Linked DNA regions of Arabidopsis thaliana. The protein of the gene in region 3 interacts with the protein of the main gene of each other region in a pairwise test. Each region holds a gene or a part of one and is shown on either strand. Other genes may lie near its edges. The genes, in order: CBL8, AT2G22360, SR1 and AT1G28060.

Evidence for each region.
Region 1: the proteins of SR1 (region 3) and CBL8 interact in a two-hybrid assay, tested with the Arabidopsis thaliana proteins (one study listed by BioGRID).
Region 2: the proteins of SR1 (region 3) and AT2G22360 interact in a two-hybrid assay, tested with the Arabidopsis thaliana proteins (one study listed by BioGRID).
Region 4: the proteins of SR1 (region 3) and AT1G28060 interact in a two-hybrid assay, tested with the Arabidopsis thaliana proteins (one study listed by BioGRID).

What each region holds. Positions count from the first base shown.
Region 1 is NC_003070.9:23,947,276-23,952,189, reverse strand, and holds CBL8 (calcineurin B-like protein 8), read left to right. Parts: upstream 1-1,828; 5' UTR 1,829-1,914; intron 1,915-2,399; 5' UTR 2,400-2,438; coding exon 2,439-2,529; intron 2,530-2,706; coding exon 2,707-2,789; intron 2,790-2,915; coding exon 2,916-2,975; intron 2,976-3,120; coding exon 3,121-3,229; intron 3,230-3,316; coding exon 3,317-3,369; intron 3,370-3,682; coding exon 3,683-3,763; intron 3,764-3,910; coding exon 3,911-4,023; coding exon of another isoform or gene 4,024-4,027; exon of another isoform or gene 4,028-4,073; intron 4,074-4,107; coding exon 4,108-4,162; 3' UTR 4,163-4,396; downstream 4,397-4,914. Other genes in the region: AT1G64490 (DEK, chromatin associated protein), read right to left, coding at 1-24. UniProt on the Arabidopsis thaliana protein: Acts as a calcium sensor. CBL proteins interact with CIPK serine-threonine protein kinases. Binding of a CBL protein to the regulatory NAF domain of a CIPK protein lead to the activation of the kinase in a calcium-dependent manner.
Region 2 is NC_003071.7:9,495,899-9,501,256, forward strand, and holds AT2G22360 (DNAJ heat shock family protein), read left to right. Parts: upstream 1-1,671; 5' UTR 1,672-1,807; intron 1,808-2,244; 5' UTR 2,245-2,263; coding exon 2,264-2,373; intron 2,374-2,561; coding exon 2,562-2,706; intron 2,707-2,807; coding exon 2,808-2,865; intron 2,866-3,041; coding exon 3,042-3,084; intron 3,085-3,406; coding exon 3,407-3,455; intron 3,456-3,532; coding exon 3,533-3,616; intron 3,617-3,721; coding exon 3,722-4,561; 3' UTR 4,562-4,821; downstream 4,822-5,358. Other genes in the region: AT2G22370 (mediator of RNA polymerase II transcription subunit), read right to left, coding at 5,121-5,223, 5,310-5,358. UniProt on the Arabidopsis thaliana protein: May function together with HSC70 chaperone to assist protein folding and prevent protein aggregation during heat stress in the chloroplast.
Region 3 is NC_003076.8:312,682-317,389, reverse strand, and holds SR1 (serine/threonine protein kinase 1), read left to right. Parts: upstream 1-1,984; 5' UTR 1,985-2,638; coding exon 2,639-3,967; 3' UTR 3,968-4,200; downstream 4,201-4,708. UniProt on the Arabidopsis thaliana protein: CIPK serine-threonine protein kinases interact with CBL proteins. Binding of a CBL protein to the regulatory NAF domain of CIPK protein lead to the activation of the kinase in a calcium-dependent manner.
Region 4 is NC_003070.9:9,777,055-9,783,390, forward strand, and holds AT1G28060 (Pre-mRNA-splicing factor 3), read left to right. Parts: upstream 1-1,796; 5' UTR 1,797-1,928; intron 1,929-1,948; exon of another isoform or gene 1,949-2,060; 5' UTR 2,061-2,112; coding exon 2,113-2,589; intron 2,590-2,702; coding exon 2,703-2,984; intron 2,985-3,075; coding exon 3,076-3,453; intron 3,454-3,535; coding exon 3,536-3,730; intron 3,731-3,827; coding exon 3,828-3,982; intron 3,983-4,558; coding exon 4,559-5,432; 3' UTR 5,433-5,812; downstream 5,813-6,336. Other genes in the region: BBX13 (B-box type zinc finger protein with CCT domain-containing protein), read right to left, coding at 1-603; AT1G28070 (ATP-dependent RNA helicase), read left to right, coding at 6,028-6,210. UniProt on the Arabidopsis thaliana protein: Functions in the RNA-directed DNA methylation (RdDM) pathway. Acts as a pre-mRNA splicing factor, likely by affecting Pol V transcripts. Affects DNA methylation of transposable elements (TEs) and preferentially influences NRPD1- and ROS1-targeted loci.

The DNA.
Region 1 (4,914 bases), on a different chromosome or scaffold from region 3:
TTGTCTCGCTTCTTCTTCCTCCATTGATTTTGATGTTGAAGACGGCTAAAGATCGACCAAGCCTAAGAAAAACACACTTGAGGGTTTCAAAGAGAAAATTCAAAATCTCTGTTGTGAATGGGCCGACAAATGGGCCGACAGTTTGTCTTAATAGATATCATGTTTTAGTTCTCAGAAGAAATGATAGCTCTTATTTTGATGATCGACTATTATCGTTGGCTTATTGCAAAGTACAAGCAAGTGCTGATGAAGCTAGAGGATAAACTGAGGTCTGCAGAGGATGTTACAAAGGCTAATTAATGGTTTTGTGAGGGAGACCATCGAGTCTTTAACATTTCTAACCTGTGGAAGTCTCTCTTTGAACAAGAAGCTGGTGAAGCATCACCTCAAGTGATAAGGGATGAATTGTTAGCGACCTGTTTCAGCCTATTTTGGGTGAATCATGCCATAGCGAGATACAGAAACTACCTGTATACTCTCCTTACGTTCTAGGATCAGAATTTTTCATCAACTCACTCAGGTTACATATATAATAAAGTAAGTCTTTCTGTTTTTGACATTTTTGGTTTTTGTTGTTGTTGTTTTGGCAGATCGTATTTACCAATTCATTCACCCATTATCCTTATCAGTTAGCATATCAAGTTGTTGGACCATTATAAGTGCGCTTTATGTGATCATTCTTTCTAAAACACACCAAATTACTTTTGAAAAATCTATATCTTGATGATCAAATTCATGATCTATAATATATACATGTGAATCATAATCTTTCCACTTGTCTATGATAATAGTTATCCGCATCTAATCATATCTTACAATATTTGTCTCTGAGCACGTGATATTGAAAGATCAAGAAGCTTTTCATAATTCTTGGATTCAATAGTGTCATCAAGAAGAACCTCGTAACATTGTTTTGACATAAGGAGTCCCCACAATACAAGAAATGAACCATGTTAGTATGAATAGTCGGCACTATTTTGACCATTGTTTTATCCTATGTTTTTTCGTTTCACGATAAACAATCAGAACTATGTTTGAGTTTAAATCAGAACAATCAGAACTAAATGGTTTATCATATGTGTTTTCGCCTTCGGTCATGATAACGTTTTTTCTACAATGACTACACCAATTTGCTTGTGGAGAATCTAATTTCTGAGCATCAATTTTACGAGGATCTTCGATTTTTCCCCTTTCACCAAGTGAAGGTGACGCTGGGATTTGCGAAAATCTCCCTCGATCAATGGTCTTACTTGAGAGAGAAAGTATCGCACCACATCGCACATCATTCTTTCCAACAAAATTAGGGTTCAAGACTCAAGAATACCTCTTTCTCTTCGTTCTCATTCGCAAAAAGATCATGATGATTATTACTCTTCCCATCCATGGCGTCGCGCGCGCGCACGCACTATCTTCTCTCTTTCAAAGATTGTAAAACCTAAAAGAATTTTTCTAATGAATCCCTAGAAAATTAGGAAAGAAAGTAAAGAAAAAGAAGAATAATCCAACGGTTTTTTATTTTAATAAGAACAAAGCGCGTGAATAACAACTAACAATACTCTTTTTACGTGTTATTTTTTCTTGTTTTAATTTTTATTATTATTATAAAAACGAATTAAGAAGAATAAAATCAAATTTTCTCTTTTTTTCTGAACACCTATCAAATTATCTGTTTATGAAATTGAAACCGAAAAAAAAAAAATTGTCAAATAAAAAGATCGTACAGTCACAACTTATTCTTTAATTTATTTTATTTTTAATGATTGCTGAATTTTTAATGAAGTATACAGTAAGCTTTTTGTTTTCCGTCGATATCACATAAGGCATTTCCGTATATCTAAAGTCTTCTCTAGAAATATTGGAAGAACAACAACCCTCTAAATACAACCAATTTGTAACACAAGATCGATCATCCAGGTATTTTCACTTTTAGACTTTTATCATTTGAATCGAATCTTTCTTGATTATTTGGGTTTTATTTTCCTGCCAAATAAGATTTTAATTTTGTAATTAATTGAGCCTATTGTTCTTAATTAAGATCTTGGCCTCTTTCTTGGGGATTACTATATGATGATCATATAGGTTTTATGAGGAATTTATGAGAACCTCTAAATTGTTACTAGGTTTGCCCATCCATGTATCGATCTTAATTAATTTCAAGTCTTCTTCTTAATTAATTGTTATGATCTCATCATATGCATGTTCTTGATTCGTTCCTTGTCGTCATTTTTAACATAAGATGATCGGATCATAAAGATCTAAACCAGATTCATATAAATCTTTTAATTATTTGTTAGTCCACCGTAACTATCATTTCCTCTTATCTACCATTGCGAATTCCAACGGATCATTGAATCAAGATCAGGAGCCTGAAACTTTTTTTTTTTTATTGGTTATTTTAGCAGCACAAAAAATTATTCTATATTTACCAAAGTTGTTGAATGTTGGCATTCGTGAAATGCTTCTCGTTGAAGCGAGCAAAGCATCCTCGTGGATATGAGGATCCTCATGTTCTTGCATCCGAAACTCCCTGTAAGTCAAACCAAACAAACAAAAACCGCAACATCTCTATGTAAAAATTGAATAACATAATTAATTACGAAAGATAAAGAAGAGTTAATAAACGATCATCTATAAACGAATATGAGCTGTATATAGATGCATTTTATGAAGCTATTTATAGAGTTTATGTATAATTGATGTATGCAGTCACCGTGAATGAGATTGAGGCTTTACACGATTTATTCAAGAAGCTAAGTACATCTATTATCAATGATGGTCTAATCCATAAGGTAACATTTATTTCTTAAATGGTTTTTCATTTATACAAAAAAAAAATTGTATATTAAATCTAAAAATCACATTTTTTTTGGGATTTGATTTGCATCTACATGCATGACCTAATATTTTATGAGCAGGAAGAGTTTCTTCTGGCTTTGTTCAGAAACGGCAGTATGCAAAATCTATTTGCGGACAGGGTTCGTATATCTGTTCTATACTTGCATAATTAATTATATATAAACATATTTTTTGTTTAATTACATATTTCAATGAATATTATTGACGTCAAGAAAAATAAAAAAGGTGTTTAGCTAAATAATTCGGAAAAAGTGGTGCATGCAGGTGTTTTATATGTTTGATAGGAAACGCAACGGTGTGATTGAGTTTGGAGAATTTGTTCGTTCCCTTAGCATATTCCATCCATACACTCCCGAACATGAAAAATCTGCATGTACGTTATTTACACTTTAGGATCATGAAAATATACGTGTTTATTTACGTGTCTAATAGATGAAGTAAATCGCTTGTAATGTTGTAGTTATGTTCAAGCTTTTTGACCTCCATGGAACCGGCTTCATCGAGCCCCATGAGGTACTGATAAAATGCTATAGATCTCATCAATTCTACTATTAAAAAAATGGAGAAATTAAAAAAGAATTTTGAATAAAACGGTGAAATCTTTATACGAACAAGTAAATAGTAATTGAAAAATCTTACCTTCAAATTTTCATTTTTTGGTTCAGATTGCAAAGTTGTAGAACATAGATTGCAACCTTCCAAAACCACAAAATTATTCTTTCCATATCAAAATATGTGCATATATATATTATCATATATGTCTTTGGATGTTTGGAGATGCATACACAAACATTTTGATGTGTAAAATGTTTTGGTTGGAAATTAGCTGAAGAAGATGGTTGGCGCACTACTTGGTGAAACAGACTTAGAACTCTCGGAAGAATCTATTGAAGCTATCGTGGAACAGGTCACGCAACATTATACCTAATTTTAATCTATTTATCTTTCTTATTATGACATTAATATTCCTATATATTTAATATCTTTTTTTTGTTAAAGATATATATTTAATATCTTAATGATGTTGAATTTGTGAATCGATTTTTACAAACAGACGATGCTCGAGGTTGATACAAACAAAGATGGGAAGATTGATGAAGAAGAGTGGAAAGAGCTCGTTGCTAAGAATCCTTCAATCCTCAAGAACATGACTCTGCCTTACCTCAAGTAGACTTTTATTTCAAAAATATTTCTCTTTCTTGTTTTTATTGACATATAAAGTAAGTACGTCGTCGTTTCTATGATTTATAGGGAAGTGACTTTAGCATTTCCAAGCTTTGTACTCGACTCTGAAGTTGAAGACTAGAGGAAATCTTTAGAAGAAGCTAGAGGCTTTTTCGAATTATACGTTTGAGGTCTTTTAATCCTTTTTATGTATAATTCGGAATTCATTCGACATTATATGGTACAAGGCTGAAACAATTTGCAATTCTTTTTGTTTCGATTATGTCTCTCGGTCGTTTAGTTACTTGTTGATAATCTATTTCTAAGGGAATTTTTTTACAATGAAATAACAATTTTCTTTAAGGTTTTATCATTTAAATGGCTTTTTAGAAAAATGGCGTTGTGGACAATAATCTCAAAATATAAAGAAAAGTGAACTCTTAACGGTCACTGGTGAGCAACGGCTATAGGAGGAGCCACTGCAGTAGCAACGTCGGGTCCACACGTGTGTCGAACTGTCGATATATGTGCGGCCAATTGGTTTTGAATTTTAAATAGTTATCTTTTGATGTTGTTGTATTCATGTACCAACAATAATCGTGACAACATTAACTTATCTTCTTACAAATATTGAAATGTATATAAATACGTCAGGTCATATTATTTTATTGTCAGATGAAAACCACCGGCCATACCAGATGTTATCAACTACTCTTATTAAAGCTTAGATGATACTTGGTTGATTTCGTATAAAATATAGTAATAATGTAAGATCATCTCTAATAGTTAAGAACCAATTACTTCTTAACCTTGAATATTAACGTTATTTTAAATTAAAATTTCACTGTTTTGAAGGTAAGAAAAATTAGAGAAGATTTTAACAAATTACTATTC
Region 2 (5,358 bases), on a different chromosome or scaffold from region 3:
GTATGTTCTTCGATGAAATAAAGCTAATCTTATCTTTGATAAGCTTCAGAAGTCTTAATAATTTCACAAAAGCTTAGCATTATCGATATCCTAGAGATAAGAAGGTATAAAAAAGAGTAAAATTTATATTGAACCAAACAATTCATGGGACTGTTTTATCAGAGGATTTGGCGAGTAATGGCACCGGAACGAGTCCGTGTTTTTCTCTGGTTAGTGGTGCAGCAAGTGATCATAACTAATGTGGAAAGATATCGAAGACACTTGAGTGATACGAGGGTGTGTCAGATTTGTCAAGGCGGGGAGGAGACGATTCTACATGTTCTCCGCGACTGTCCCGCAATGGCAGGGATATGGAGCCGGTTAGTCCCTCGTGATCAAATACGACAATTCTTCACTGCTTCTTTGCTGGAGTGGATCTACAAGAACTTACGGGAACGTGGATCATGGCCGACGGTGTTTGTAATGGCAGTATGGTGGGGATGGAAATGGAGGTGTGGCAACATCTTTGGCGGGAATGGTAAGTGTAGGGACCGTGTTAAGTTTATTAAGGATTTGGCGGAGGAAGTGGCGATAGCGAATGCTTTTGTGAAGGGGAATGAGGTGCGGGTGAGTAGAGTTGAGCGGTTGGTGTCTTGGGTATCGCCGGAAGATGGTTGGGTAAAGTTGAACACGGATGGGGCTTCGCGGGGTAATCCGGGGTTTGCAACGGCGGGTGGGGTTTTACGGGATCATAATGGAGCGTGGATTGGAGGTTTTGCGGTTAATATAGGTGTTTGTTCCGCACCCTTGGCTGAGTTGTGGGGTGTCTACTATGGGTTATTCATCGCTTGGGGGAGGGGAGCTCGGCGGGTTGAATTAGAAGTAGACTCGAAGATGGTGGTTGGGTTTCTCACGACAGGGATTGCGGATTCTCATCCCTTGTCATTCCTATTACGCTTGTGCTATGACTTTTTATCGAAGGGCTGGATAGTCCGAATCTCTCATGTGTATAGGGAAGCTAATCGTCTTGCTGATGGATTAGCGAACTATGCTTTCTCGTTATCCCTAGGTTTGCATTTGTTGGAGTCTAGACCCGATGTTGTTAGTTCTATTTTGTTAGATGATGTAGCGGGGGTTTCGTACCCGAGACATGTCCAAGTGTAATTTTTTTATTTTCTTTTAATAAAACGGGAGACGCAGTCTCCCTCATTCTACCAAAAAAAAAACAATGCAGATATTTGCAAATTTTTCTTCTTTTTAGATACAGAGTATATGTAGGCATGTAGCTAAAGATACTTGATTTGGTGTGATTTTGATCATCTGGATGTAAAAGGTATGGTGATGCGTCTAGTGTTGGAGCACTTGAGGCTTTGGTTATTGGTGTTGTGGTCATTGTTAATTAGTACCAATGTGAAGCACCTTTATCGATTTCACAGGGACTGGACCATAGTGATGCTTGAGTGACGACTCTTATTCGTCGTGGTCTAAGCCGCCTCTTTATCATTTTTAGGGCTCTTTGGTCGACTAATTTTATTTTATTTTTCCCTTTCACTAGGGTTTCCTGACTTGTTAAACAAGCTTTAGCTCTCCGATTAACAGCTAACAGCTCTTTTACCACTCAGACCCTTTATTTTTTTATCCCGGCCACCTATTATTTATTTTGCTTGATTTTATTTCATTAATAAAATTTATAGGAAAAAAGAAAAAATTTAAAAATAAGAAACAAGAGGTAGGCTCTTCTAGCGAACTCCTTTCATACGTTTTCTCTCTACTCTCATCGCTTTTCTTATCTCTCTCGGAGCTCTTCCGTCGTCCACCATTGATTACGGTAAGATTCACCTTCTCCTACTCAATTTCATAACTATAGATAAATAAATCTCTGTCTTCTCTGCCTCTGTTAGTTTTTTTCTACGATTGAAACCATCAAATCAATTCAAGGTTTTACACAGTTTCTTATGCTTGTCCTGATTGTTTCGTTCCCGGAGAGGGAGAAATTACGGCTTTTGGAATCCGCCCAGAAAATTTCCCGCCCAGCTCGGATTTTGATAGAAATGTTTTGCCTTTTTGGTTTCTGTAAAATTGATATTCTTATTGTACTTTGATTGAAGTATGTGTGTTCAATTGAAATTGATGTTGTGTATTTCTTAAGTTTGAATCTTTGTGTAAGGATTGGGGGTTTAGGGTTTTGACTCATGATTGCTTTCTGCATTTTTAAAGTTAAAAAGCCAGACTTTGAGGCTTAGAGCTACTTATATTGTGTTGCAGGGAGTGTATTGAGCTAAATATGGCTATAATACAACTTGGAAGTACATGTGTTGCTCAATGGAGTATTCGTCCTCAATTTGCAGTCAGAGCTTATTATCCCAGCAGAATCGAATCAACTCGCCATCAAAAGTATGATTTTTAAGTCTCTGGATTGCATTCAGTTCTGTGGCTTTAAGCCTTTCAAGTATTTTGATTTGTTCACATTGCACATCTTAAGATTAGTCTTCGTAGAATGAAGTTTGTATTATGTGATTTCTACACTGAGAGTTTTATATATGAAATAGCATTAAAGGTTTTCCTTTTCACAACTTTTACAGTTCCAGTAGCCAAGTAAATTGTTTGGGAGCTTCAAAGTCGAGTATGTTCTCACATGGGTCATTGCCCTTCTTGTCCATGACGGGAATGTCCAGAAATATGCATCCTCCTCGCAGAGGATCTCGCTTCACTGTTAGAGCTGATGCAGTACGTGTTCCTATTTTCTTCCCTTTGCTGAATGCGTATATCTCAGCTTCACTATTTATTATGATCTTGATTGCTTTTTGTGTGATTGTGTGCAATTCTAGGATTACTATTCGGTACTCGGAGTTTCGAAAAATGCAACCAAAGCTGAGATTAAAAGCGGTATGTTTCTGTTTTTCTGTGTGTGAGAGATTCCCTTGTATATATAGATGGTTTGCATATGTTAAAATGCATGATCAAACCCGTGATGTGAATTCTTTGCTTGGCGTTTCTTTTTTTTTCTTGACTTGGTACTTTTTGGTATGACATTGATTCGCTCTTCCTTGCTCTTGTTTCAGCTTATCGGAAGCTGGCTAGGAATTACCATCCGGATGTGAACAAGTAAGTGAAAAACTTCACTTGATGACGATAGTGGATGTATATCTTGAGAATAAGAAGATAGGATCGACAGTCAAGTAGAGATAAGAAGCTTAATATCTGTTAGCCAAATGTTAGATATGCCAAAAACAAGATGACTGCAAACCTTGGATTATGTTGTTCCCCAAATTAGGGAAACCAGTTATTTTAAGAACTCATAGCCCTTAGCAAAATACAGACCGGGAAATATGAAATGCTCAGAAACCGCTTTTTTCCTTTCAAGACTGACACTTCTAAGTTAGAAAAGTGTTACCGTCTTGTTTACATGTTTATTATGTGCTTACAGGGATCCTGGCGCAGAAGAGAAATTCAAAGAAATAAGTAACGCATATGAGGTGAAATGAAACCCAGTTTCTCCTTTGTTTCTACTATGCAAGTTCGTACTTTTAGTGACTAAAGAACAAAATTGCAGGTTTTATCAGATGATGAAAAGAAATCTCTTTACGATAGGTATGGTGAGGCCGGACTTAAAGGCGCTGCTGGATTTGGCAATGGGGTACGTTGTTCAAAACACAGATGCACAGATTTATTCTTTATAGACACTCGAAGTTAACTCTCTGATCACTTCTTGGTTTGGTTTTTTGTTATTAAATTTCATTAGGATTTTAGTAATCCGTTCGATCTATTCGACTCATTATTCGAAGGCTTCGGTGGTGGGATGGGTAGAGGTTCAAGAAGCAGAGCTGTGGATGGTCAAGACGAGTATTACACGCTAATCTTAAACTTCAAAGAAGCGGTTTTCGGAATGGAGAAAGAAATAGAGATATCCCGGCTCGAGAGCTGTGGGACATGTGAAGGTTCAGGTGCAAAACCTGGAACCAAACCGACCAAATGCACCACGTGTGGCGGACAAGGCCAAGTGGTTTCAGCAGCTAGAACTCCTCTGGGCGTGTTCCAACAAGTCATGACTTGCTCGTCCTGTAATGGCACTGGAGAGATCTCGACGCCGTGTGGTACTTGCTCTGGAGACGGACGCGTGAGGAAGACAAAACGGATAAGTCTCAAAGTACCAGCCGGGGTTGATTCAGGTAGCCGGTTGAGAGTGAGAGGAGAAGGCAATGCCGGGAAGAGAGGCGGATCACCAGGCGATCTGTTTGTTGTTATAGAAGTTATCCCAGACCCGATTTTGAAACGAGACGATACAAATATTCTCTACACTTGCAAGATATCGTATATCGATGCGATTTTAGGGACGACACTGAAAGTACCAACAGTGGATGGGACAGTAGATTTGAAAGTTCCAGCTGGGACACAACCTAGCACGACGCTTGTGATGGCGAAAAAAGGAGTTCCGGTATTGAACAAGAGTAATATGAGAGGAGATCAGTTGGTGAGAGTACAAGTGGAGATACCTAAGAGATTGAGCAAAGAGGAGAAAAAACTTATTGAAGAGCTTGCTGATATGAGCAAGAACAAGACTGCTAATAGCACCAGTAGATGATTAGAAACACGAAAATTTTGACATTGAAATTATGAATCTCTCTATACATATACATTTTTCTACTCTGGCTTGTGATATTTAGAATGGCTCTTGAAAAAAGAAGAAGCAAGTGGAGGAAGATGATTATTGTTGTGGAAATGGAAGAATTTTAGAATTCATTTTTTTGTGGTTCAAATTTTTAATATGTTAGGTTTTAATAGGCTTTCAAATTGGAATTTATTAGTGATTGAATGATAAATAAAATAGTATGTAATTCCACAAAGACATTCACATTATTTTAATCATGTTCGAAGCTTCATAAACTATCAATCTACTGACAAGTGACAACAATGAAACATCATAATACCAAAAGGTTGAGAGAAGAGCAAAGATCATATGCAAGTTGTGATTTATAAAGAATATTTATTAAAGATCCCTTACTGATTCTCATTAAATAATACTTAACTCTAATGGTTCACAAGATTTCACAACCATTGTGTAATCTGGAAAATTGACTAGATTGGACCAAAAGATCTAACAAGAGAGAACACAAGAACAGTTGTTTTTAACTTCAAACTTCTTACAATGTAGTACCTCCTCCATCCGACATAAGAGATGCAGCCGCCGCAGCAGCGGTTGGCACAACCCCCGTGGAGATAGACGGTTTCGACAAGTGAACAAGCCTGAAAACACAAGGAATCATATCACTGATGAAGCTTATATCAAAGACACTATCACAGGTGCTGTAAAATATATCAGATGAACTTACGGAGCAAGAAATTCACAGAAAGATGAAACAGCAGCAGCGACTTCACTGT
Region 3 (4,708 bases):
TATCGTGGACGGACAAATACTGTAATTAGATGTTGAATTAATGGAAATTATATAGTCGCCAGACCATTAATAAACGTAAGACAATGCTTACGGGAGATATCAGTTATGTTATCGTACGTTTCTTTCTTCTGCACGAAAGCCCTTTATTTTTCTTCCTGCAGCCTTCATTTATTCTTGCATTACGTTTTTTTTTTTTTTTTGTAAACGTGTTTATAACATATTAACATGGACCTCGTATATTCCATTTTTTTAATTCATTTTATTTATGTTTTCTTTTGTTAATTACTTCAGAAGTTATTTATGGTCATATATATTATATCGTTAAATTTTGTCGTAAAAATGGGTTATATGGTCACATTAATCTTGCATGGGACCAAAAGTAACAAGCTAAATTAATAATGTATTCTTTTATTTTGTTTGTCAACAATTAATAATGTATTCAAAATCAGTAGATATTTTGATTGGAGCAACCTTTCGAACCAACGAAAGAAAAGGGGCAATTATATAACCATCCATTTTTATTGACAGAACCTTGATTTCGTAATTATTTAACGAGCTTCTTTCCTTCCTCCTTCTCTTTTTCCCCAACGAAAGAAGCTTCCATGAAACAGCATCAGAAAAAATCAAAATTAAAAACAAATGAAATCTTTCGTACATCACATTATTAACGCGGTAATTTATTTTTATTTTATTCCCGTACATGTCTTTTAATGGATTTATATATATTAAAAAAGATGTTGATTTGGTTTTATGTGAATACTGTAGTACTAATTTATGCCTACCAAAAAAAAATAGTACTAATTTATGTGTGGCTTGGATTTATATATATGTACAAATGGGCACAGCGTGACAGCGAAAATAGTAACGTACGATTTATCTAATCTTTAAAACGTTGTGTGTTTTGGATAAATTACAAAAATAATTAAAATTGATTTTATATTTTGTTGTACGCTGCGGTGGGTAGATCACGTCGTAGATTTACTATAAAAATTGACACTGCAAAATTTATCCTCTTTTTTTTGGTATTAAACTTTAACCAAAACTTCACAAGATTATAAAAGCCTTGCACTCTAACAATGCAATGCGATGATTTCTAAGTCGTCAAATGTTTAAGTCTGAGGAATTGGGACATAATTAGTGTGATTGTGGGTAGTGATCATACATGGAACTAATACATCTTTATAAAATTATACTGACTTTCCAACTTAGCTAAGTAAGAAAATAGTAACTATTAAAAAAAAACAATGAGATAATGTTAAATATTAATCAAATTTGTTTTTCTTTTTTATTTTGGGCAAAAGTTATTTTTTCAAGCGCACTGTTTGTACTTTATAATGTGAAACATATATTGAAAATAATCAATTGAAATCTTAAATGTAGTCATATTTCTTTTTTTCAAAAAGCATCAAATAGATCAATTTGCCCATAAGACTCGATTTATTTTTCCACGAATATGGGAAAAAACAACTGGAGATTTTTAAAAAGGAATGACATATGTTTTCCAAATGTATTAACTAATGATTCCAACATAAGCAAATATATTTTCTAAAAATAGTGAAATAAACAACTGTGAAATGTATACAAAAAGCATGAAATATATTTTCCCAAGTATTGTTTAAATTTGATAAATAATTCAAGTTATTTGGAACAGTGATGGAGTGGAAAAATAAACATAAGAATCATAATTAAAAATGAACGTAGAGTTTAGATAGTGATTTGAAAAGATTAAGGAAGATTAGGAAATGACACTAGTTATAGGACGATTCCAACCTTGAGCAGTGGGGCGGGAGTTGTAGTAACCTGTCAACCGCAATATATAGCCTGGTGCTCAAAATGAGACTTGAACTAATACTAATAAGGGGAATTTGGATGTTCAAAGGACTTAACCACGATTGATGACTAAACAAAGCAGTGGTTAGCTGAATTACTAACTAACTAGAGCTAGCTGCCTAGGCTAGTCGAAAGAACAATTCTCCGTTTTGAGTTGACCATAAAATAATAATATTCAACAATATTGGAGGAAACATGTTTATATGTTCTTGTAATAATAATATTATAGCAAATAGCCGAAGATACGACGAAGCGTATATGTGTGAAATGAGTATATTCTACAGCCTAAACCCTCGGAGATACCAAATCAACACGACAACAGCGACGGGACACCTGTATGGTTCTAATTCAACTTCTTGTCCACATCTTCATCTTCTTCTTCTTCTTTTTTTAATAGATATATTAAGAAAACAAAACAGAAAATCTCCCACGTCTTTACAAAGAAAATAAAGAAGAAGAAAATAAGGAAAAAGAATCTGATAGTAATTGACAAAAATACCCTCATCTCCTACCTCAAGACAGTAATATATATGTAACAACTCGATACAGAGCATGGCTTATCTCTTATCCGAATCCTCCCAATTTGTCTGTCTCTCTTTTGTTTTCTCTGCTAACAGATCTCTCTAAATATCTGTTACTTTTGTTCATATCTTTTTACTTTTCAAACTACTAATTTTCCTTTCGCTTCTTCTATTAATAACAACACTCTCTCTCTCAGACTTCTTTTCTTTTTTTTCTACGGCGTTGATTCATTCGCAATGACCTCAGTTTCTGTGTACCATAATTGACCTAGCAGATTCTGTTTTTAATGGTAGATTCTGACCCGGTGGAATTTCCGCCGGAGAACCGCCGTGGACAGCTCTTCGGCAAATACGAGGTCGGAAAATTGGTGGGATGCGGCGCCTTCGCGAAAGTGTACCACGGGAGGAGCACAGCGACGGGTCAGAGCGTTGCGATCAAAGTGGTGAGCAAGCAACGGCTGCAGAAAGGAGGACTCAATGGCAACATTCAGAGAGAGATCGCTATCATGCACCGTCTGCGCCACCCTTCTATCGTGCGCCTGTTCGAGGTCCTCGCCACCAAATCCAAGATCTTCTTCGTCATGGAATTCGCCAAGGGCGGTGAGCTATTCGCCAAAGTCTCCAAGGGCAGGTTCTGCGAGGATCTTAGCCGTCGTTATTTCCAGCAGCTCATCTCCGCCGTCGGATATTGCCACTCCCGCGGCATCTTTCACCGTGATCTCAAACCGGAGAATCTCCTCCTCGACGAGAAGCTCGATTTGAAGATCTCTGATTTCGGACTCAGCGCTCTTACCGATCAGATCCGACCCGACGGCCTCCTCCACACACTCTGTGGTACGCCGGCGTACGTGGCGCCTGAGGTTTTGGCGAAGAAAGGGTACGACGGTGCTAAAATCGACATATGGTCATGTGGAATCATACTGTTCGTCCTCAACGCCGGTTATCTCCCTTTCAACGACCATAATCTCATGGTTATGTACCGGAAAATCTACAAGGGAGAATTTCGCATTCCCAAGTGGACCTCACCGGATCTCCGGCGACTGCTGACTCGGCTTTTAGACACGAATCCGCAGACGAGGATCACTATCGAAGAGATCATCCACGATCCATGGTTCAAACAGGGCTACGACGATCGGATGTCTAAATTCCATCTAGAGGACTCCGATATGAAACTCCCGGCGGACGAGACCGACAGCGAGATGGGAGCAAGGAGGATGAACGCATTCGACATCATCTCAGGATCTCCAGGGTTCAATCTCTCCGGTCTTTTCGGAGACGCCAGAAAGTACGACCGAGTGGAACGGTTCGTGTCGGCGTGGACGGCGGAGAGGGTGGTGGAGAGGCTGGAGGAGATCGTGTCGGCGGAGAATCTGACGGTGGCGAAGAAGGAAACATGGGGGATGAAGATCGAGGGGCAAAAAGGTAACTTCGCAATGGTGGTTGAGATAAACCAGCTAACGGACGAGCTGGTTATGATAGAGGTGAGGAAGAGACAAAGAGCCGCTGCATCTGGACGAGATTTATGGACAGATACACTCAGGCCTTTCTTCGTCGAGCTTGTGCACGAATCAGACCAAACGGACCCAGAACCAACTCAAGTACATACGACGTCGTAGTTTAGGTATCTGTCAAATAAATTATCCAAATAATAATTAAAAAAAAATATCCCGGGTTATATGTAATTGCTTTTTTTTTTACCCGGAGAATATCTCTGACATAATTATTCAGGAAATTTCTCGACAAATCTTAATTTTTAGTTGGCAAGTATGTATCTTCTTGTTATGTAATCATAATTATATTTTATATAAATGAAAAATAAAATATAAAAAAATGTATTACTTGTTTTAAATGGCCACTATAATACATTAGTAACGTATCGTGGATGTGAAGTAATGCTATGTGTACAAGACACTCTAACTTAACCATTACTTAAGGATTAGTTAACTATTCAACATGATATTTAACATACATATAGATGTAATTTTTAACAACTCATAAAACACAGTCTTCTTCTGCTATTAATTTTGTCATTATGTAAAAAGAAGTGTCAAGATTTGAGCCATGAACTAACACAACTGATCTACTTTCACCTTTTTGATAAGTAAGAGGTTGTCCTTATCACATCATTGTAAAAATATACTATTAAAATAGATATATAGCTAGTGGACTTTATATAATCCTATCGCATGTGGCTGTGATATAAGATCATACACCAATAATTCTCATCAATCATTTTCTTTTCTTGGTATCCACATTGAATCCAATCATCCATAATCCATTAATTTCAGCTTCAGCAGTTATAATTACTGTAATCAACATATATATCACCTTTTCAATGCAATAATTGTAGGCTCCAC
Region 4 (6,336 bases), on a different chromosome or scaffold from region 3:
GTCACAATCACGGTCACGATCACCATCATCGCCATCACCACCGACAACACCACTCTTAAGCAACTCCTCAAGCTGCTTACACAATACCTGCTTATACCTCCCACAACTAGATCCACAAGATCCACGCTTCTTAAACGTCGTATCGCTGGGAACAATCAATTCATTAGATCCCAAAACCCAAGAATCCAACTGCATCCCGAAATTATCCATCATCATCGCCATCATCGGAACTTGATTCTCTTCATCTTTCCTCCCTTGCTCCAAATCAAGTCCCCATAAAGCAGCAAGCTCCAACGCCGATGGACAACCGGAAAAACCTTCCACGGCGGATCGAACATGAGCATCGGAAACTGAACAACTTCCGTGAACATCCCAATCACACTCCTGACACAAAATCAGATTATCGGTGAAACACCGAACAGAGACTGGCTCGTTACCGCAATTATCGCAGATCTGAGATCGCACGTGCTTCCTCGACAACAGATTCGCCGTGTGAACTTGCTGATCACAAGGCAAACACAGCTTCGCCGTATCGGCTCTACAAAACAAAACCGCCGTACGCTCGCCGCAGAAATCGCACGGTACTCTCTCCGAACTACTCATAACTGACTCTCTCTCAAAATCCCTAAAATTCGAAATCAAAATCAGAATTTATTTTCAGAGACTAAGGACGGTGAGAAGAATGATGACAAATCCATTTCTCACGTTTTTCATTTTGAACTCTTTTTTTTTTTGGGGGGCTTTGTCAAAATTATCTGCAAATCTTTTGGAATGAAGAAGACAACGAAGCTAATTATTGTAAACAGTTTGGGGTTAGGGATTTGTTTTTCTGTGTTGCGATGTATGGAACTTGTGTATGATGGATTGTTCAGATTGAGATATGTTGAGATCTGACGGTGTAAAAGCGTGCTGAGAGAGTCGCCATTGTTCAGACGGCGAAGCTTACGTTGACTGTGACAGAGAATCTAAGAGAAAATATCTAATCTGCTTTTTCACCTAAATATCTATTTTAACGTATAAAGGGAAAGTTAGTTCAAAGCACATGATTTTTATGGGATTAATTCTTTCCGTATATAGCAATAACTTTTTGATCAGTGTAATAACGGCTGGAATCGTCTTTTTCTGGAACTAGTATTTACGAACATTGCAGCGTAATGTATAGCATATATTTATGTGCATAATAAACTGCTACACACGAGTTCTTGACAAAAGATGTGATAAAATTAAAATCGTAAAGATATTTTAGGATTCATGTTAGATATTTTCTTTTTGTCCATAGACTTCAATAAGTTGTTTTTTTTTGTTTTGAAAAAAAGTATAACTTATTTGTAAAGTGCTATCATTCTGAGGTATAAATATCTTGAAAAAGTTCCTGGGGAGTGGTAACAATCGGAACGATTCTTGACTAACGCATTAAATTTCACGTGTTAGAGAGTTTGTGATTCAGACTATACATAATACAGTATATGAGCGGGTTTTTTCTTTTTTGAGTCAAAGCGGAATATATGCGTTATATACTTCTATATTTGAATTCTTGAGTTTTGATCGAATGTTTAATTTGTGGTCAACTTGTGGAAATCTCTTGGCAAAGAAATCTTATTTATCCAAAAAATAGTTGGTATGAAAACTCTTGGCAAAGAAATCTTGTTTATTCCAAAAATAGTTGGTATGAAGAGTTTGGATTTCTGCTTGTAAGAAAACTGCGACCTGACATCAAATATTTTTCTTTTTAAAGATAAATAGCTTGAATTTTCATATATCTCTATAGAAGATGAATCGTCGATTTTTTTTTTTTTAAGTAAAAGATGATATAAAAGCCCATTAGACTCAAAATTGAAGAACTATCTCAAGAAGGAACTCAAAAATGGGCTTCAGCCCATAAGGGAAGCTTGTAGTCCGGTGATTGGATTATATATCTTCCGGATCCGGTATCGTTTCGCTCCCTTTAGGATTTTTCCGGAAGGAACAAAAATCTGATTCAGAACTTGGTTTCGCTGGTCGTTTTGGTTCTAATCTGAATCGCTGGTTTATTCCGGTTGTGAATTTTCGTATATTTATAGGACCGGCGAATCAGAAGCAAATTGTTGTTAGGAATAAACCCTAAATTCTGCCATGGATAAGGAGAGATATTCCAGGAGCCACCGTGACGATCGTGATCGAGATTCGAGTCCCGACCATTCTCCACAACGTGAAGGAGGACGCCGCCGTGACCGCGATGTTGATTCGAAGCGTCGTGATTCAGATCACTACCGTTCATCGAGGCGCGGCGATAGGGAAGATGAGAGAGATAGGACCAAGGATAGAAGAGGGAGATCTGTAGAGCGAGGCGAGAGAGAAGGGAGTAGAGATAGGGAAAAGCATCACCATGAGAGGTCTCACGAAGGTAGTAAAGAGAAGGAATCGAGGAGCAAGAGGAAAGATAGAGAGGAAGAGAATGGGGCTAGGGATGGGAAGAAGAAATCTAGGTTTGCTGATGGGAATGGTGAGAGGAGGAGCAGGTTTGAGGATGTGGCTATTGAAGTTGAGAACAAAGATGCTCAAGTCTCTGAGGGTTCTGGGGCTACGAATCCAACCAGTGGCGTTACGATGGTGAGTTCTTTATACCTTTTCGTTAATCTTCTTTGTTTGCTACTTGCGATTTGTTCATGATTACCTCTAGTCTTCTTCGCTAGCTAATGCTTGCATTTTCTTTTTTTGTGCAGGGAGCCTCTACATATAGTTCTATTCCATCGGAAGCTTCTGCTGCCCCTAGTCAAACACTGCTCACTAAGGTATCTTCGATATCTACAACGGATGAAAATAAGGCTAGTGTTGTCAGATCTCATGAGGTTCCTGGAAAATCTAGTACAGATGGAAGACCATTGTCCACAGCTGGGAAAAGTAGTGCAAACTTGCCTCTTGATTCATCAGCGTTAGCAGCGAAAGCTAGGAAAGCACTACAATTGCAAAAGGGATTGGCTGATAGATTGAAGAACCTTCCTTTGGTAAGATGTACAGATATTCTATACTTTTTTGCGTTCATTCTTCTCTGAAAACTTTGTATTTGATAAATTGCTTTTCTTATTCTCTGTGCAGCTGAAGAAGGCTACTAAGCCAACTTCAGAAGGTAGCCCACATACCAGAGTGCCACCATCGACTACCACTCCTGCTGTCTCTACAGGCACATCTTTTGCTTCAACATTACCACATACTGGCCTTGCTGGCTTTGGGAGTATTGCCAACATTGAAGCTGTTAAGCGAGCCCAGGAGCTGGCAGCTAATATGGGATTTCATCAGGATCGAGAGTTCGCTCCCGTTATTAACCTATTTCCAGGACAGGCACCCTCAGATATGACTGTTGCACAGAGACCGGAAAAGCCCCCTGTTCTGCGCGTGGATGCACTAGGAAGGGAGATAGATGAACACGGAAATGTGATTAGTGTGACTAAACCAAGCAATCTTAGTACATTGAAGGTCAGCAATGTTAATTTGAATATCTTAAGTTTTCATGTTTTTCTTTATATGATCGAGCTTCTAAAGTACTTGGATTTTACAGGTTAACATAAACAAAAAGAAGAAAGATGCTTTTCAGATTCTTAAACCTCAACTGGAAGCAGATCTAAAAGAAAACCCCTATTTTGACACAAGGATGGGTATTGATGAAAAAAAGATTCTGAGACCTAAACGTATGAGTTTCCAGTTTGTTGAGGAAGGTAAATGGACAAGAGATGCTGAAAATTTGAAGTTTAAGGTATGCATTGTCTTTTGTATGGATTCTTTTTGACGATATTCTCTCTTGGTGGTCTTTTAGATGTCTCATTGTGTGTATTTCTGTCTTTTCTTTATAGAGTCATTTTGGTGAAGCAAAAGCGAAGGAGCTGAAGGTGAAGCAAGCACAACTGGCTAAGGCAAACGATGATATAAATCCAAATTTGATAGAGGTATCCGAACGTGTCCCGAGAAAAGAGAAGCCCAAGGAGCCAATTCCAGATGTTGAGTGGTGGTACGTAATTTCTCTCACCTTACCCTTTCTGTTAATGCTAAGTTGTTTTGTTTCTGATTTGACATTCACTTGGCATAACCTTGGTGGAAACAAGTCATCCTGCACTTAAAAACTGAACTTGTAACGATTGGAGTATTTGATGACTGTGATGAATCACCATAACAATAACTTTAGTTTGCTCTCAGCTACGGATGACATTCATATAATTTGTTTGGTGTTCTTGTTGCTCATGTTGGTTTAGGGTTGTTTGTTTGTTTTTTGAATTACTATCTAGTTTCGTTTAGGTGGGATATATACAATTAATATTTCAATTCTTTGATTTCTTTGAGTGTTCGCATATGTGCTTTAGTTTTCCACATACAACTTCTGAAAGTTCAATGGTTTTGTCATCAGCAACGGTGTGATTGGTAGTAAAATATGGTAACATGAATCTACTGATGATTATGATCTACTTAGTACCTTTCAATGCCAGCCCAAATAGTTAATCTAGCTGCTTTGTGCTCTGTCGTTTTGGTCTATTTTCTTGGTATATGTTCATGATGAGTCTTCTTAGTTCATAATTGTTTTATGTTTCAGGGATGCAAATGTCCTCACCAATGGCGAATACGGCGAAATAACTGATGGCACCATTACTGAAAGCCATCTGAAGATAGAAAAACTTACTCATTACATTGAGCATCCTCGTCCCATAGAGCCACCTGCAGAGGCAGCTCCTCCACCACCCCAACCTCTTAAACTGACAAAGAAGGAACAGAAGAAACTGCGAACCCAGAGGCGTCTAGCAAAAGAAAAGGAGAAACAGGAGATGATCAGACAAGGGTTGCTGGAACCACCAAAAGCAAAGGTGAAGATGAGCAACTTAATGAAGGTTCTTGGTTCTGAAGCGACCCAAGACCCAACAAAGCTTGAAAAAGAGATCCGCACAGCAGCTGCTGAGCGTGAACAGGCTCATACAGATAGGAATGCTGCCCGGAAGCTAACTCCTGCAGAGAAACGTGAGAAGAAAGAGAGGAAGCTTTTCGATGATCCAACAACGGTTGAGACGATTGTGTCGGTGTACAAGATCAAAAAGTTATCGCACCCTAAAACAAGATTCAAAGTGGAGATGAATGCAAGAGAGAACAGATTAACAGGGTGTAGTGTGATGACGGATGAAATGAGTGTGGTTGTGGTTGAGGGCAAGAGCAAAGCGATAAAGAGATACGGGAAGCTGATGATGAAGCGAATAAACTGGGAAGAGGCAGAGAGGAAGGAAGGGAATGAAGACGAGGAAGAAGAAGTGAATGGCGGAAACAAGTGTTGGTTGGTTTGGCAAGGAAGTATTGGGAAACCGAGTTTTCATAGGTTTCATGTACACGAATGCGTGACGGAATCCACTGCCAAGAAAGTTTTCATGGATGCTGGTGTTGTTCACTACTGGGATCTCGCTGTCAATTACTCAGACGACTAAATCCTCTCTCCCTCATATCATCATCATCACCTTGAAATGCGTTAACTATTTGGACATGTTATTGCACTTCTATGAACATATATTCCCCTGGTGTCTGGTATTTTAGTTTTTGAACAAGAAATGATCTGTTTTTTACTAGGTAAACTGTTTAAGGTTGATGATACAACATGAATTATCTGAGTCACAGCCAAAAAAGTACCATTGGTTAAGTATGATTATGACTTAAAACAAAACTATAATGTTTTAAAAATATCGAGGCCACTAACCGATAACATAATTATGTGTACAGTCAGAAGAATGAGCCGCGCGTGTAGATGGTTGGACGAAACGTGCGACAAGATGCGAGCCTGAGTGCTCAATATGTACCTGACAGCTACACCTCCTCCAGCTTTCTCTTTACCCAACAATTCTCCACCAACACGGGCGCGTGACCTCATGAAAATCCCCAAACTACCCTCAAACTCTGTTTTTTTTTCCTTGATTAAAGAGTCTTCCTTCGTGTTTTTCTTGTTTTCATTCCTTCCAAATATCTATCTCTTTTGTTTCTTCTTCTTCTTCTCCTCTGCTTTTGGAATCATTATAGTGATAAGAGGAGATGGCGGATATAACAGAATATCTAGAGAGATCGATGCAGAATTGTTCACTTATTGATCGGAGAAGTAGTATGGGAGATGGATTTGGTATGAGCGATGAACATATCCCGATCTCAGATAGATTCTTGGAGCTCAGTTCTCACTTCTCTGTTCCTTCTCATTTGGAACAGTGTCTTGATCTTAAGGTAAAAGAAAACTCACACAAAAAGAAACAGATTCCTTCCATGTTTCCTTATAATTGATCTTTCAATTTTATTTTGTTTTGTCTCAAAATGCTCAAAGGGTTTTGGTTTCAAGCTTGATTTGTAATT